Linked DNA regions of Struthio camelus. The protein of the gene in region 2 purifies or fractionates together with the protein of the main gene of each other region. This does not show direct contact. Links are inferred from orthologs where the notes say so. Each region holds a gene or a part of one and is shown on either strand. Other genes may lie near its edges.

The links.
Region 1: the proteins of SLC7A11 (region 2) and CD44 purify together in Homo sapiens (affinity purification with western blotting; 3 studies listed by BioGRID and IntAct, with this or other methods). This does not show direct contact. The link is inferred for Struthio camelus from reciprocal best matches to the Homo sapiens genes SLC7A11 and CD44.

What each region holds. Positions count from the first base shown.
Region 1 is NC_090946.1:34,247,411-34,254,924, forward strand, and holds the start of CD44 (CD44 antigen), read left to right. Parts: upstream 1-4,426; 5' UTR 4,427-4,703; coding exon 4,704-4,770; intron 4,771-7,514. UniProt on the Homo sapiens protein: Cell-surface receptor that plays a role in cell-cell interactions, cell adhesion and migration, helping them to sense and respond to changes in the tissue microenvironment.
Region 2 is NC_090945.1:32,140,546-32,147,827, reverse strand, and holds the start of SLC7A11 (cystine/glutamate transporter), read left to right. Parts: upstream 1-4,254; 5' UTR 4,255-4,571; coding exon 4,572-4,848; intron 4,849-5,004; exon of another isoform or gene 5,005-5,079; coding exon of another isoform or gene 5,080-5,137; intron 5,138-7,282. UniProt on the Homo sapiens protein: Heterodimer with SLC3A2, that functions as an antiporter by mediating the exchange of extracellular anionic L-cystine and intracellular L-glutamate across the cellular plasma membrane.

The DNA.
Region 1 (7,514 bases), on a different chromosome or scaffold from region 2:
CAGTTCAAGCTCTGACGTTCGGATTTCCAGGTTCTTATCCCGTGGTGTGCGCTGGGAAGGACGAGAAGAGGAGAAAGAAGGGTAGTGAAATACTGAAACCAGCCACAGAGAAAATGTATTTCCCCTTCTTCCCTTGAGTGAAGGGAAGTGATGTAATAAAGCTAAATGGGTATATGGTGTGAAAGTTATGCCTGGTGACTGGTGCTGGGACTTCCTGTCGGCACTCTGCCGCAAGCCATGCGGGCCAGTCAGGGACCAAATGCTTTGGGCTGCTTGCTAGGAGTAAGAAAGCTGGTGGGGCCACATGTTTTGAAGTGGAAGGGGGCCTTGCTGCAAAGAGTTCCTTACAGAATATTTGAACGAATCTGGCTGTTAGAGTTTTTTTACTGTGTTGGTTTAGTGAGTTGTTGAGGGATCTGGGGCAAACCAGTAAAACAAGCTGAGGAATCCATGCAGTAGGTGCCAATCTGGGTTGCTGCCCTTTTCAGAAGTAAACAACTAGGAGCCATTGTTCATCTTCCTAACTCTCTGCAGGACACAAGCTGTAAATTACATCTGGGAACAAAAGGTTGATGGGAGTAGAACCGGGTGCCCAACTTCCCAAGGGAGCGCTTTGCCCTCCAGCCAAAAGAGTAGCTTTTCTGGCTTAAACCAGTACAGGCTCTTCTTATACTTTCGCATCAGCAATTAGAGCCCACAAAAAGTGTGCAGGGCAGGATTTGCTACACTGAAGCATTTACAACCATTTCCATTACAAAATCTGGTTTCAGGGTTGATCATGAAAATTAAATCCGGTCTGAACTATAGCAAATAAGATTGCAGTCTAGGGACGCAGGAGCAAATCTGATTCAAAAATACCATATCTTATTGAGATTGCAGTTAAATGCGTGTAAAATCCTCCTCCTTCCTTGAAATTGTCTTACAATCAGTCTCTCAGCCCAGCTGCAGTCTATGCAGAATGCACGCTGCCACTACCAGAGTCACCTAATGAGATCTGTGCTGTGTATATGCGCTGAGATTATGTTCTACAGCTCCCCATGAACAACTTGAACTTTTCAGAAACAGAAATGTTCTGAAAAGGAATTTTTTTATCACAATATTTTTGTTTCTGCTGAAAAATAGAAAAGAAAAACGTTTTTCAAACTAGGAACTTCATTTTTACAAGTTTTTGTTTTTGCAATAAAAACCTAAGCAATTTTGACAGAGACAGAATTCCGTTCTTCCTCCCTAAAAATTGCTTACATTTAGCAATGTAAGCGCAATGTAATGTGATAGTGAAACCATTCTCCATTGGTGTATTTTTGTAATCACAATTTTAGATGCATTCACTTACTGGTCTGTGCGCATAATAAAATCCACACAAACGTACATTATGGGGAGATGCTGCTGTACTGAAGACAGTAGAATTTTGGCCTTTGATTTCAGCTAGTCCCGAATTTCATCCTCTAAGGGAATTCCAGCAAAAATATCTTTTTATATTGCTGTAAGCCACATAAGTTCCTCTTCTAGAGCTCCAACACATGCACTCTCTAATAGGATTTTTATCAAAATTAATTGGTGCTGGCTAGAGTTCACTTATGTGATAAAATCACAAATGAGATATTTTAGTGCTCCTGTACTACATTACACCATCATAGATTCTTTATCTGCTGTGTCAGAGGCTTCATTAAATGCTTCAAGAAGCATTTTTAAATTGCTGGTTTCTTAACATTTTAGTTGTATTATTTCATTCTATTATGAAAATCAAATTCTTTTAGTTCCATTTATTAATTTACAAGTTTTCCTTGCCACTAATTTAACTGCTACTGCCAAGAGAGTAAGCAAATTCCAAAAGCGCTAACATTTAAATATACAATCTGTGTTGATAACAATAATCCCACGGGAACAAATCCACAATGGGAATAAACTGATGGGCTCAACTTAAAATGATGCTGCGTTGCATTTTCTCAGCTGAAGATTTACTTTAGGATGCGTTCCTATACCCTAAGATTATCTTTAGCTAAAAGAAAAGCTACATACTTCTCAAAAAAAAAAAAACCTATGGTACCCCTCTCCCAGAGCTGTCGACTAAATTTTCTGGGTAGCATCAGGCACTATGCCTGGGCTAAATTTGTATTGCTGTCTACCTCAGGCCATCATATTTTAGGGGAAAAATTCCATGTTTGGGTGGGAAAGAAGGACATATTTTTGTGTCAGCTTTTTTATTTATTTTCTTAATGGCAGCTCTTTGAAGTGCTCAGTAGGTTGGAATGTTAGCGTATATCCTTGGCTAATGAATAACCAGGCAGATGGCACGTGAAATGGGCAAACTTACATGTTATATACATACAATTCATTACTTAGGTCTGTGGCATATCACATGAAATGCATACTATGATTAGTTATTTTTCTTGGGCACCTCTGTCTCTCTTGCATTAGGCGCTAACCCATCTGTGCACCTGGTCTAAACATGCCTAATCTCCGTACAGCTTTCTAGGACTGCAAGCAATAGAAATATTTTCCAACCAATCTCCTCCCCAATGTGGAATCCCCCCACTAAAATAAGTAGTGAAATGTCTAACATGCATATTAAATAATATTTAGTATTGAGAAAGTAACCTGTTCATAATCTGATATCACAAGGGCTGGAATACAGGAGCTTTACACCATAGAGAAACTAGGAATTTTCACTCCTGGTGAAATAAGACTTTTGCCTCTGTAACACTTGCCTAACTCCTTGAAATGATCGTTATTTTCCATTTACCTATGGTAAAGAAAACAGACTTCCATTTTCATTCCATTTCATTGTGAATACAGGATTATATGTTCACCAATTTTTTTTCTATCAAAAAAACAATACTGAAAGTTATCTAAATTGTAATTAAATATTCCATTCTTTTGTTTCATACACAGGGGTGAATTTTAAAAGTCATTTAGCAGTTGAAGAAAAAGATATGCTTAGTAAACTCAAAATATGTATTAACTGTGCTTTTTAAAATCTAGCCTCTAGGCTTTATTCATATATTTAGACACCCACATAGCTATTGCTCAGAAAGTACAGGAATACACCAAACTATGTCTTTTGCAGTACAGTAAACAGTAAGTCATATATATAGATCATTTTTTCTTTGCTCCTCAAGCCGTTTGTTTCAAATGAAAAACTAACATATTCACTAAATAAAACATGTTTCATCCGCAACTTCCAAGTTGTAAGCTTCTTAATAAAAAGATCCCCTATGTTTTAAGGAAAGCTTTTCACTTTAACCGTGTCCCATCAGATATCCTAACCTGTAGGAAGAGCCTGTTGGAACCTGTTGCTAAAAATGTGCCTGTTTGAGGAAAGGATAGCCAGCCATCTTTAAGACAAAAGTCAAAGAAAAGTCAAAGTTCTGAAATCCTCATTGTGTAAAGTTCTCGTGCCTGTGGTTGGGAGGACCTGTCAGTATTTTTCCATTGTTTGTGTTAAAAGCGATTAAAAATTAATGAAAAAAATCCTTAAAAGTGGGAGGATCAACACAATGGTAATATGATACAGCGCTTTTCATTTCAAAGTTGCTGAGTGAAACTGGAAACAGGGCACTAATGACTGTCAGTCATTGCCACGTGTTGGTTGTTAAAGGTGAGATGGAAAGGGTTTGGTGATCCCTGACCAGCCCCTAATTCCACACAAACCGCTGTCGTAATTCCACAGCTCAGAAGAGAGGCGAGTGTATGGAGTAATTACGAGAAATCACCTTAGGCGCATAACAGATACACCTTTCCCTTATCTACATAGGCTTTGAGGTGTTCACCAGGGATTTCGTGTGGCATCCTTTGCTAACTCTAGACTTGGACAAAACATATGCACATATAGTCCTCAGGAACTTCTCCGAAAGTCACACTATTGTACGTTCTCCTCCTGTTTCTTCATTTTGGGAATTAGGAGTAGGAGGACTAATTCCTTCTATGTCTCACACTGTAAATACAAGAAATCAGAGACCTAAGTCCTCAGTATTACTGCTGGCACTGGCATAAGGTATCACTTGTATTGGAGCAGCCTGTGCCAAGAAGCCAGCGAGCTTGTGGAGACTGAACTACCTTGATTTACCTACTGTAAATCCCTCTGAGAATCTGAGATCCTCCAGATTCCCCCCCCCCCCCCCAAAAAAAAGGTTCATTGCAGAGCAGACCTTTTGCTTGCCCTAAATTGTACTGAAAAAATGAGAAAAAGTGGTATGAGACAAAATAAGCAAAATATTTTGGGGAAGCATCCAGGCAGTTGTAGATGCTTTGCTGGGGTTCAGAACGTGTGGTGCTTTACTTTCGCCTGTTTCGCAATACAGGTCAGAAATCAGAATAGAGATCAGAAATAGTCCCTTTCTGAGCCTAACTCGTGAGAGATTACACAAATGTTCCTGCAAACGCTATTGATGTAACTCATGACAGTACTTGTGTAAGTCGAAGAGGTTTAGTGCCTCTTTAAAACTCGAATGTGGCTGCTCGGGCAGGAGAAGTAGCCTTCCCCCCCTCCCTTTCTTCCACTGCTCCGACACTTTTGTTGCAACTATGGGTGTGACTTTTGATGGAGCTCCCCCTCCCAGTTATGTCATTACTTAGTTCTTTGAATCAGAATAAAAAGTGCAGCAAACTTCAGACTCATTGACTGCAGGCTTAACAAGCGTCGGGGCTTCTTTCTGTAGCCTGCAAGGATCTCTGGTTTTTGCAAAAACAATTCTGAGAAAAAAATGGCCAGCTTTCCTTTATGGGCAACTTTTGGATTATGCTTGCTGAAGCTTTGTCTAACAGAGACAGGTAAGTTTTGTATGAATGAAAACTCTTATGATTGCTAATAAGCTTATGCCTCAGACAGCAGCAGTTATTCAGCCAGATAGCTAACAGCTTCCTTGCGTCTATCTTTGTATAGAGTTTTATTATTTGTTAAGAGTTATCAGAGATGCTTTAGTACGGGAAACTTAGCTGTACAATCAAGTAAAGCTGTGTATTGCCTGTAAAGGGCAATTCCAGTTCTATAAAATGTGAATTGTAGATCATTAAAGCTAAGTTTAAACTAGGAACAGAAATACATTAGGGAATTTAGAACAGCTCTGGTAAAGCTCAGTTCAACAATGTGACTGCTGTTACATACGTAGTTTGCTCTCTTGGCTCTGTTTTAGAAAGTTGAGAAAAGGGGGGGTGGGGAAAGCCTCCCCCCTCGTCCCAGCGTACAATAACTGTATTCTTGGGTAGACACGGGCTGAGCTAACAGCTAACACATACCACGTTTGGATGTGGCCACGCTGAACAGAAACAAAGCTGCAATCATCTGGGGCTGAAATTTTGAGAGCTGTTATGCCAGGCATGCTTGTTTCTGACTTCTTAAAGTTTCTTTGGGGTTTACTGATAATATTTCAGACCAAAGGGGTTAGAAGTGACCACAGACTTGAGCTGTTTATCCATTAGCTTTCTGTAGTTCTGTTATCTACTTCAAATATTTGTATTTAAAAGTGAAACATGTTAATATAGGGGGAAAAATAAAACCTGCATGTCCGAAACGGCAAAACGCTCCTGAAATTTGACATGGTGCAGGCTCAATAGTGTTTGAGGGAGATGGCCATGCTTTTAACAGGCTCTCATTGTGACAGCAGCTGCCTTGAGGCATTTTGCGGTTAGGGGTAACAATTATTGTTCTACGCTATTTTTCCACTCATCAGTTCCAGGAGTCCAGCAGAATACATTTTTCATTGCGCTTGTCACCCACGGGCTCTGTGCCTGTCTGTATGTGTACAATACATATATATCTGGTTAGTTGGAGCAGCAGCAAGTTAGTCTATAATGGTGGCAATCTGGCCAAGCCATGAATGGGTGTGTCAGAAGCAACGTCCCAGGCCCATCTGTGATAGCTGAAGGGCTCTCCTTGCTCTTCTTGCTAAAATAGACTTATCAGTGATATTAAAAGACTCTTGCTAAGATCAGCTTGATGGATAAAGCACTCAAAGAAAGGGCGGGTGGTTCTGTAGGCACATGAAGTATATCTGAGATGTGTTTAAAAGTTTGACTTAGTCCAAGTCTGCATACTGTATAAGGCTTATAATGATTTTTTTTTTACTGCTTGCTCAACTGATTTTCCCTTTTTTAAGCTGCCAGGAGCGACCTAAAAAAGCGGAGTCTGCACTTCCTCTGGGAATAATACATTTTTACAGTGAGACGTAAAAGAAAACCCCATCATCTAGTCCTCAGTGCAGTTACAAAAAGCATGTCAAGCTTATGCGCCACAGGGAAGTTTCTTCAATGGCTTAGCAAGCTATTAGATTATAGCTGCAATATATTTTAGTTGGTATGTGGTGCATTCCGACATGACTTTGCAGTCAGTAATGACTTCAAAACAGCCGTTGATGGTGGTTTTCTTTTTTAAATGAGTAACTTTACTGTGCATCACAGAATACTGACCATTTCTTCTGGCACATACTTTGCTTGAGGAGCAAAATTCAGACCTGTTCCTGAATTTTGATTCTGTATAGCAGAATTTCGCAAAATTGGAAGGTCCTAGAATTACTGTTAATGTGATTGCTAGAGGAAAGACCAGATCTAGAGAGCTGCTGAAAAAAATGATTGATTCAGACTGTCCTGAGTTCTGTGCTGCTGTAACTGTACTGTCACTGATGTCTGAGTGAGGTGAACGCATGATGGTGACATAACTTTGTTGTCTAAGCAGTCTGAACAGAGCCCAGGAAAATATAGATGCTGACATCTTGCTTAATGGGGGTTCTGGGGGAGATTTTCCCCTGGGGGCATTATATATTTGTAAAAATATTCCTCTCAAAGTTTTCCTTGATTAACACAAAAGCTACTCTAAGAATTTTGTCCCCAAAACTGGAAGTAGTTGGAATGGACCTAGAGGAAAAGGTGAAATGAAAAAAGGAGGGAGAATGGCACCACCAGTGAGAGAGAAAAGTTGGGCTATTAGCACTGGAGAGGTGGCCAGAGCTTCAGTACGATGTAAGGCTGTGAGAAAGGGCTACTATACCTATCAGCTGGTCACAGAGGAAGGGACCTGTCTGCCTTTTAGCTTATATATCTGTCATGTAAATTTGTAAATAAGGCAGCGTGAAGAAGCTCTTTGTGCCAGTTTATTTTCACATAGTCCCTACAGTGTGTATCTTGGCTAGTTTCCCAAAGCTGTAAAGTAACTAGACTTTATTAAAGTTCAGTTGAACTGCCATCATCCTTTAATGGAAAGGTTATATATCTGCCCTTGAACTGCTCTCGCAGACAGAGCCAACAAATCAAGGCAGAAGATTACAATCTTTGGAGAAATGTTTCTACTTCTTTAGGTCACTGCTGTTCACCACAGAGCAGAAGCGTTGCCTTGAAAACAGGAAGCCTCAGAAGGAAGCTTAATGAGGGATGAGAGCATCACAGAAGTGACAAAAAACTTCTTAAACTAAGTGCTTTTAAAACCACTAGTAGTTCTAGCCAAGATTAAGTGAAATGTTTCCCCGTACCTCGCGTGTCTCCTTCCAGAACTGTTCCCATGGCTTTTATAGGCCAGGACTGGA
Region 2 (7,282 bases):
TCTTCTTGGAACTGGATTTCTATTTGCTGGCTGTATGGGTATTTTGTTGGAAGCATTTTACTGAAAATACATGAAATAATATTTGAATTGCTTTTGGATTTCTTACAGGGTTTTGTTTTAATTCTAAAGCCTCTGAATTGGAAATGTCTCTTATTCCTTCTCATATTTTTGTTTTTCTTCTAAATAACTTCTTGGTATCGCGCACAAAATGGAATGTAAAATGCTTAAGTGAGTAATTTGTTAAGCTCTGACTAGAATGTAAAAAAGAAACAAAAACCCCAACATTGTCAATAATTCAATTTTTAACTAAAACATTGACTTGTAGTAGAGAGAACAACAACTTGTTTTAGTTTTCTCACATTTTCAGGTTTTCATTAAAAGACACAAAAAGGGTCTTATCTACTGTGAGACCTTCACGTACTTCATGATGATACTATTCCAACTTAATTCCCACTGACACCTTCCCACTCCCCCCTTTTCTCTCCCCTAAAGGAGGGTGTTTTGCCCTCCTCTGACATTTGAAGCCGCAGTACCATCTTCCTACAGGGCTGGTTTTCTGGGCTCACACGCAGCTCAGAATTATACCGAGAAGACTCAACTCAGTTTAGGAAACTTTTCATGCCATGCCACCCACACAAGAGTCTGGGGCTTTCCTCACCTCTTTGGTCTTGGTATACTTCCCTTTTTTAAGTCGGGTGTCTCCAGCCACTGTGGCAGTGGGTGGCCTGCAGGCTTGACTTGTGACTCTTTTGATTTACTTGATGCAATAAGCTGATATACAGATGCCTGGAAGGGTTGTCAAGGTATGCTTGCTACACCTAGAAATTAAGCAGCTTTTGTGGGCTTGAGAAACTCAAGTCCAGGCTTGAATTTTAGGTCCTTTACTTGGCTGTGTGGGTGCTGCAACATTCCCGTAAAGGTTTTCCCCGGGGTAAATATCAGGATTCTTCCTTCTTCAAAACGAGCAGTATAACAGTGTCAAAGTGTGTGTTAGCGGCTGTACGACTGCGGAAAACTGAAGCGTCTCTGCACTAGGTATTTGCAGCCTCTGTAAGGCTGCTGTAACTTTATTGCCCACGGTGCTTGAGCGTTTTATTCGCAGGCACAGGGTAACGCAGGCGGCAGAAAGGTCAGAGCATGATATACCCCACGAAGGGGGCAAGCGGCGCAGGCAGCTGTGCTTGGCAAAGCCGGAGAGCAGCGCAGCGGAGCGATGTTTTACTGCAGCTCTTTGCAGACTGGAGGCGCAGGAAGGCTGGCGCCCGCTCTCGGTTAGCAGTTCTCTTTGAAACAGGCAACGGATGGACAGTTCAGCGCTGGTGGGAAGGTTCAAAAGGAGACCGTTGCACAGCGATGATCTAGGTCATGCTTTAAAGCGTTTGTTTAGGAGAACACATCTATGAAATGGGGAAAAAACAGAGAGAAACGTTAAAAGGCTGTGCACAGTGCCGGTTGCCGTTAGAGGCTGAAATTTTATTTTCAGAGCATCCTATTTAGGAAAGAATCCGTCGTTGCTTCAAATGTATTTATCAGTCTGCAGTAATTTATGCCATGTATCTTTTGCTTCCATGGCAGATTTTTGTGGAAGAACGCGACTGTTTTGAGGTTTGGGCAGGTCAAGCCCTGCGCTTTCAGAAGAGCCCTCTGTGAAAGCACACTGAACGCGGCGTGTGTTTGCGTCGCGATGCTACGGCCCCTTGCTCTGTGCTGAATAATTCGGATGAAAGTAGCTGGTGGGAAGAGTATCAGGGACTACAAATAATTCGATCAGATTTTGGGAGGGTATTGGATAATGTGGGGCAGCACGCAGCAATGGGCCTCTTTGGCTTTGTGCCCTCCTTGGGATAGGGCTCCAGTGGCAGATAATTCTCATGAAATTTCCAGAAAGCAACAAGGAGTCACCTAAAACCAGATGAATATTCCCTGCAAAGGGATGGTGCTGATAGGTTTGAACTCAGAGGACAAAAAGTGCTTCCCCCTCCCCCCACTTCTTTTTTAAACCTTTATTCATTTTTAGCAGTCAGCAGTGAGAAAGAGGTCTATGCAACAGTTGCCACCGGGAAAGCTGCAAAACAGCGTGATCCCTAGGAAGCTGCCAGTATTTAGAAAAAAAAGAGTTTGTTGCATCCAGCCTAATTTGCACTTTAGAAAATTCAGTGAGAAGTTCACATAGCCTTAAACTTTGCATGTGTGATATCCCTGCCCCACAGAGGAAGCCAGCACCCTTTTCCCCACACGGGAGAGTGTTAATAGCTGTGTCCGATGGGCAAACGTGGGTTCAGAGCATTTTTACGTGCTTCTGGCTAGTGGTCAAACAGAATTTGAAAGCCGTTACCGCATCCAGTGATTTTACTTAATAGCTGGTGTGGACGCCTGGATTGCTGGGAGCCGTCTCGGGATCGTCTGGAAGCTTATTGAACTTCTGATTTGATCTTGGAACTGCCGTCCCATTTAAATAAAGGATAAGCATTAGTCAAGAATGATTAACTTAAATTATTAGATGTTTTAAGATGTCATGTGCTTCTTCAGTAAGCAGCCTTTGAAAATTAAAATAAAGGTCATCAGGCAAGCCCAGTTCTGTGGTTAATGCTTTTTCCTGGTTTGATTTGATCTAGTTATTTAGCTCAGGCATTTATAACCTTCTAAGGGGACAGCCTATCAAGTGTACATCAAGGGAAAACAATTCTGCATAGCACACCACCTACTCATGGCTTGGGATTTATCTGGCACCATGAAAATTGGCTTGGTTTGGGCCGTTGGGTGAGAAGAGGCAGTCCTGGCTGCAGCCGGTCTGGGCTTCTCTGATGGGTCTGGCACCAGGTGCCCTGAGGACCAGGAGGAGAAGCTAGGTGGAGATGTGCAGGATCAGCTGCTGAGCACGTGAGCAGATGGAGGAGGAAGAAATAGGATGTGTTCAGAAAACAGGCAAGCAGAAGCAGCATGTACTCAAAAGCTAAAATCACTTTGTGCCTGTGTACATTTAAACCATGTAAGCTTTCTAATGCTCTGTCCTATCCCCGAGTAAATTATTACAGGAGGCTTTAAAAACACTGAGGTTTCACAGATGCAGCGTGTTGATGCTCCAGTTATCTCCTGTTTCTCAAACAAATCTGAAGGCACTGTTGTGCTCTGAGCTCAGTGCTCCCTTTTCAAATGACAAAATGTCAAACTGCTATCTCTCTCTCTTTTTTTCTTGTTGTAATCCTGGGTCCTAATTAAGCGGTAACTGTAAGAGCAGTAACTGCAGCAATCATTTCTCTTTGCACTGATCTAATCTGAAGCCTTGAGCAGCTGCAGTAGTTATGCTACGAAGGATTTTTCCCCTTTGGCATATACTGCGCAGGCTGTCCCTTGACTAGGCTACAAGTGCTTGGAGGCTATTGATTTTTGTTCTGTTTTATGAGAGTGTTTTTTTTAAACAGTTTAATTTCTCCTGCTTGCGTTTGAATTGTTGGGTAGCGAGAGAAAAGTATTTATGCATCTGATTACCCGTTTATCCAGTCAGAGAAGCTCTAGGATAACTCGAAAATCACTGGTTTCTGAGTGCCTGCAGATCCTGTGCTCTGTTGCGTTGCCCTCGTCCTGTCACATCGTAAAAAAGGTATTGCTGTAAACGTTAACAGGGTTTCTTAAGGGGAAGCGTCGCTGCCGGGCGGCTTACAAACATCCCAGAAACACTGCACGTATGAAAATTGCTGTACTATGGAAATAACCGAGATTTTTCATTAGCCCGATTCGGGCGTGTTGCTAGGCAACGCGGGGTAACGAGGGTTTACGTGGGCTCCGCCTGTAGATACTTACAGTCCTCGTGCGCCTTTCCAGGTGAGTAACGTAGACTTGAGGTAAGCTAATCGATTGCAACAGAACAAAAAGTTAGACCCCCGCAAACTTTAATTTCACTAAGAGGAGCTTTTGGCGGAAGAAGCTGGAAAAGACCCAGAGCTGACGTAGCCTGTTTGATTTCTTTTCCCCTTGCGCTCGGACCAGCCTTGTGTTTAGGCAGGCTTTTGTTTCTGCCTGCGAGTTGCTTTAAAAATTTGGGAGCGTGTCTCCGGGTGTCGCCGGCGGTGCGCGCAGCTCAGCTGGCTCCGTTTCCTTGCGAGCGCTTTGTCCTGCCCACCACGCGCAGGTCGGTTGTGCAACATGCCCCTACCGTTTCAGGGGGAAAAAAAAAAGAGAGAGAGAGAGAAATGCTGAGTAATGCCAGAGGTTTCTCAAATGGCTGATGCAAACCTGGAGAATTTGCATCATCATTCAGCTGGAGTAACTTGGTATGACAAGAGCTTAAATACAAGTCCACGCGGAAGCCGAGCTGGTTTCCAACGATAGGGCAGGACCAGCCAGCAGCGTGCAAGCGCAGGTGTTGCTGAGCAGGGCTCCCCCGACCGCAGGCACCGGGAGCCTCCTACCTGGGTGCAGGGGCAGCTACAGGAGGCAGGCACCAAGTGGTTCGTTTCACACGGAGGAAGGGAGGGGAAAAAAAAAAAAAACACCACCCTAACAACGACCCTGAGTTTGTGCTACAAACTTTTTGCCTGCGCTTGCCTTGGCTGTGCTGGGGGCACTGTAGCATGTTCAGGAAAGCTGCTGTGACTGCAGCCTCTAATGGAAACTACTGGCGGGGGCAACCCAACGGCAGGCTGCCCTCCCTGGACAGCGAGCAGCCGGCCCAGGAGGAGAAAGTGGTGCTGAAGCAGAAGGTGACGCTTTTGAGGGGGATATCCATCATCATCGGCACGATCATCGGCGCCGGCATCTTCATCTCGCCCAAGGGGATCCTGCAGAACACGGGCAGCGTGGGCATGTCCCTCTCCGTCTGGGCCGCCTGCGGCATCCTCTCCCTCTTCGGTAAGTCACCCCGGAGGGGCCGCCGCCGGATTAGCACTGTCACCGGCATGATTTTGCCATTGGATATCGAAGTGCAGTGCTGAGCTTGAGGACCAATGGGGCTGCAGGAGTTTTTTTGCGATTGGATAGGTACTGTCCAGGGCGCGGAGGCTTGCGGTCGCTGCTACCCCTCGTGCCTCCCCTTGCAACCGGAGCCCTTTGGAGAGACTGTAAGCGCAAACCGTGTTTCTTATGGGTCCCAAAAGTAAGAGGAAAAGGAAACGTCCAGTGTTATGGCAGAAAGTGTGCTGTATGTATGATGTTTTTCTTCAGGCTGTAAGACGTAGCCTAGAGTTTGCTTGCAAGGTGCTGGGGATACGGGCCGCTCCGTTTGGACGCTGGTGAAATGTTCAGGCAGTTGGACTCAGTTCCCCCCAGGCTAGATCGAGCTCTGGGAGGAAGAACACCTGCTGGACATAATCTGTATCGGCACGAAAGGGAGCAAAACGATAATAATGACCACCCCCCCCTCCCCGAGACGTGGATTTCTGCTTTCGCTTTGTTCCCCGCTCGCGATGCTGCTTGGAAAGATTGTGCTGCAAAACGTGGCGGGACAGAAACAAACTCCTAATGAGAGTTTTATTCCTGACCTGCCTATTGTGACAGTTTTTACCAGTTTTTGCTTTTAACGGGGTATTAAACCCCGAAGAGTGCCGGTTTATTTGTGGCGCGCGCACAAAGCCCCCGTTCAGAGCGGGAAACCTCACCCTTGCTGCTGAGGAACAGAGGGTCTATTGACCTCCTTAATGAGTTAATCTCAGAGAAGCTGAAGAACTAACATGAATATTGGCTTTATTTAAAACACAGACGGCTTGTTTTCTGGCAGGAGGTAAAGAGGGCAAACACTGACGAACACGTGTCTGCTTCAGAGGTGGAACATGCAAATGCCACCCTGTGTAAATTGGCTCTGAGCTTAAAAGAAGCATTGACTGTTTAAAGGAGAAGTCCACCCAAGCCAAACAGACAACGAAGGAAAGTTAGGACCCGTTTCGGTCAAACGTTAAACGTATTAGTACGATGCACAACATAGTCTGTTGCCCAAAAGTGGAAGTCCTGCTTGTAGGCAAAATCCCCCTGTAAAGGAGGACCTCAAATGCAATTTGTAACCCTGTCGTGCGACTCTGGTGTTTAGCTTTGGTTAAAACAGAACTTGCTTAAGTGTTGCCCGTTTAGGTTTAACTTTAATAGCAGTGATTTCGTAGCTGTGAAACACAGTTTGTAGGAAAAAATCAGTCTCTTTCATCAAATGGATTTTCTAGACCATTTTCCAGATCTTGAGAGGTGAAGAACTGTACAACTCTGCCCAGTAAAAGATACTGCCTCTCACTCTAAATGGATTTTTACAGTTACGTTTTCATAATTTTTATGTCATTAATGTATTTAATTCGCTGCATGACTTAGAGTAAAATTTCATACAAAGATCACTGATCACCTGAAGTCTTGGTGAGGCTCTCAGTGAAACATAATTTGATTTCATCCTGAATCTCTCCCAAAGAAGTTGCCAAGAAAAACCCCATCAACAGGTTTCTTAAACGCGGCTATAGAGTTGCTTTAAGCACGTTTTCAGGTAAGCTGAAGAATATCAGACAAAAGCTGCCATCTTTTGCAAAGCCCCAAGCAAGGCAAATGAACACAGGTGGAATTTGTCATAAAGTCATACAGCCCTAGTGGGCTTGTACGTGCTCTCCAGTTTGGCAACTGTAGTTCTCATCTTACAGCGCAGTAGCATAAAAGCACGTAGGGAACAAAGCCTAAATGACTTCGCGTACTTTGTTGATTTTAACTCTATGCGATGAGTGTTTGCAAACTTTATTATTGTTTTCCTGTGGCTTCTCAGGCGCTCCTAATAGAGTTGCCTGCATTTATGAGACTTGGTACACCTCTGCTCTACTGCCGCGGTCCCCCCGCAGAGCGGAGCACCAGCGGCTTCGTGACTGGATGATGGCCCATTAAGCAGCAGTAGCAGATGGTACCCGGGCCAGGATTGCTTCATGCAGGCCCCTACAGCTGCAGCCTGCTGCTGCCGGCGCTGCGAGGGCAGAGGATGCAGGCCGTGCAGGTGGCTGCCTCGGGCCGAGAGCTGCTCCTGCTTCACCGACGGGTGAAACAGGCCTCCTGCTAAGGAAACGTGAAGCTGTCCATAATATTTAAGGCAACGCAGAGTTTAACTGAGCTTTGATTGCGTTAGTAGTATGCCCCCAACTGTGCAAGCGTTGAAAAGCCAGGGCTAAGCCGTTCCCCAAGTCTTCTGCGTAAGGCGTTGACAACACTGCTGAGTAAAATTGTTAATCTGCAATTCCTGCTTCAGGATTTTGGTCAGTCGATTGCTTCACCCATGGCAAAGGATGGGGCATGCAGGCATGCCAGGCTTTCCTTCGGAGCCTTAACCTGTGAT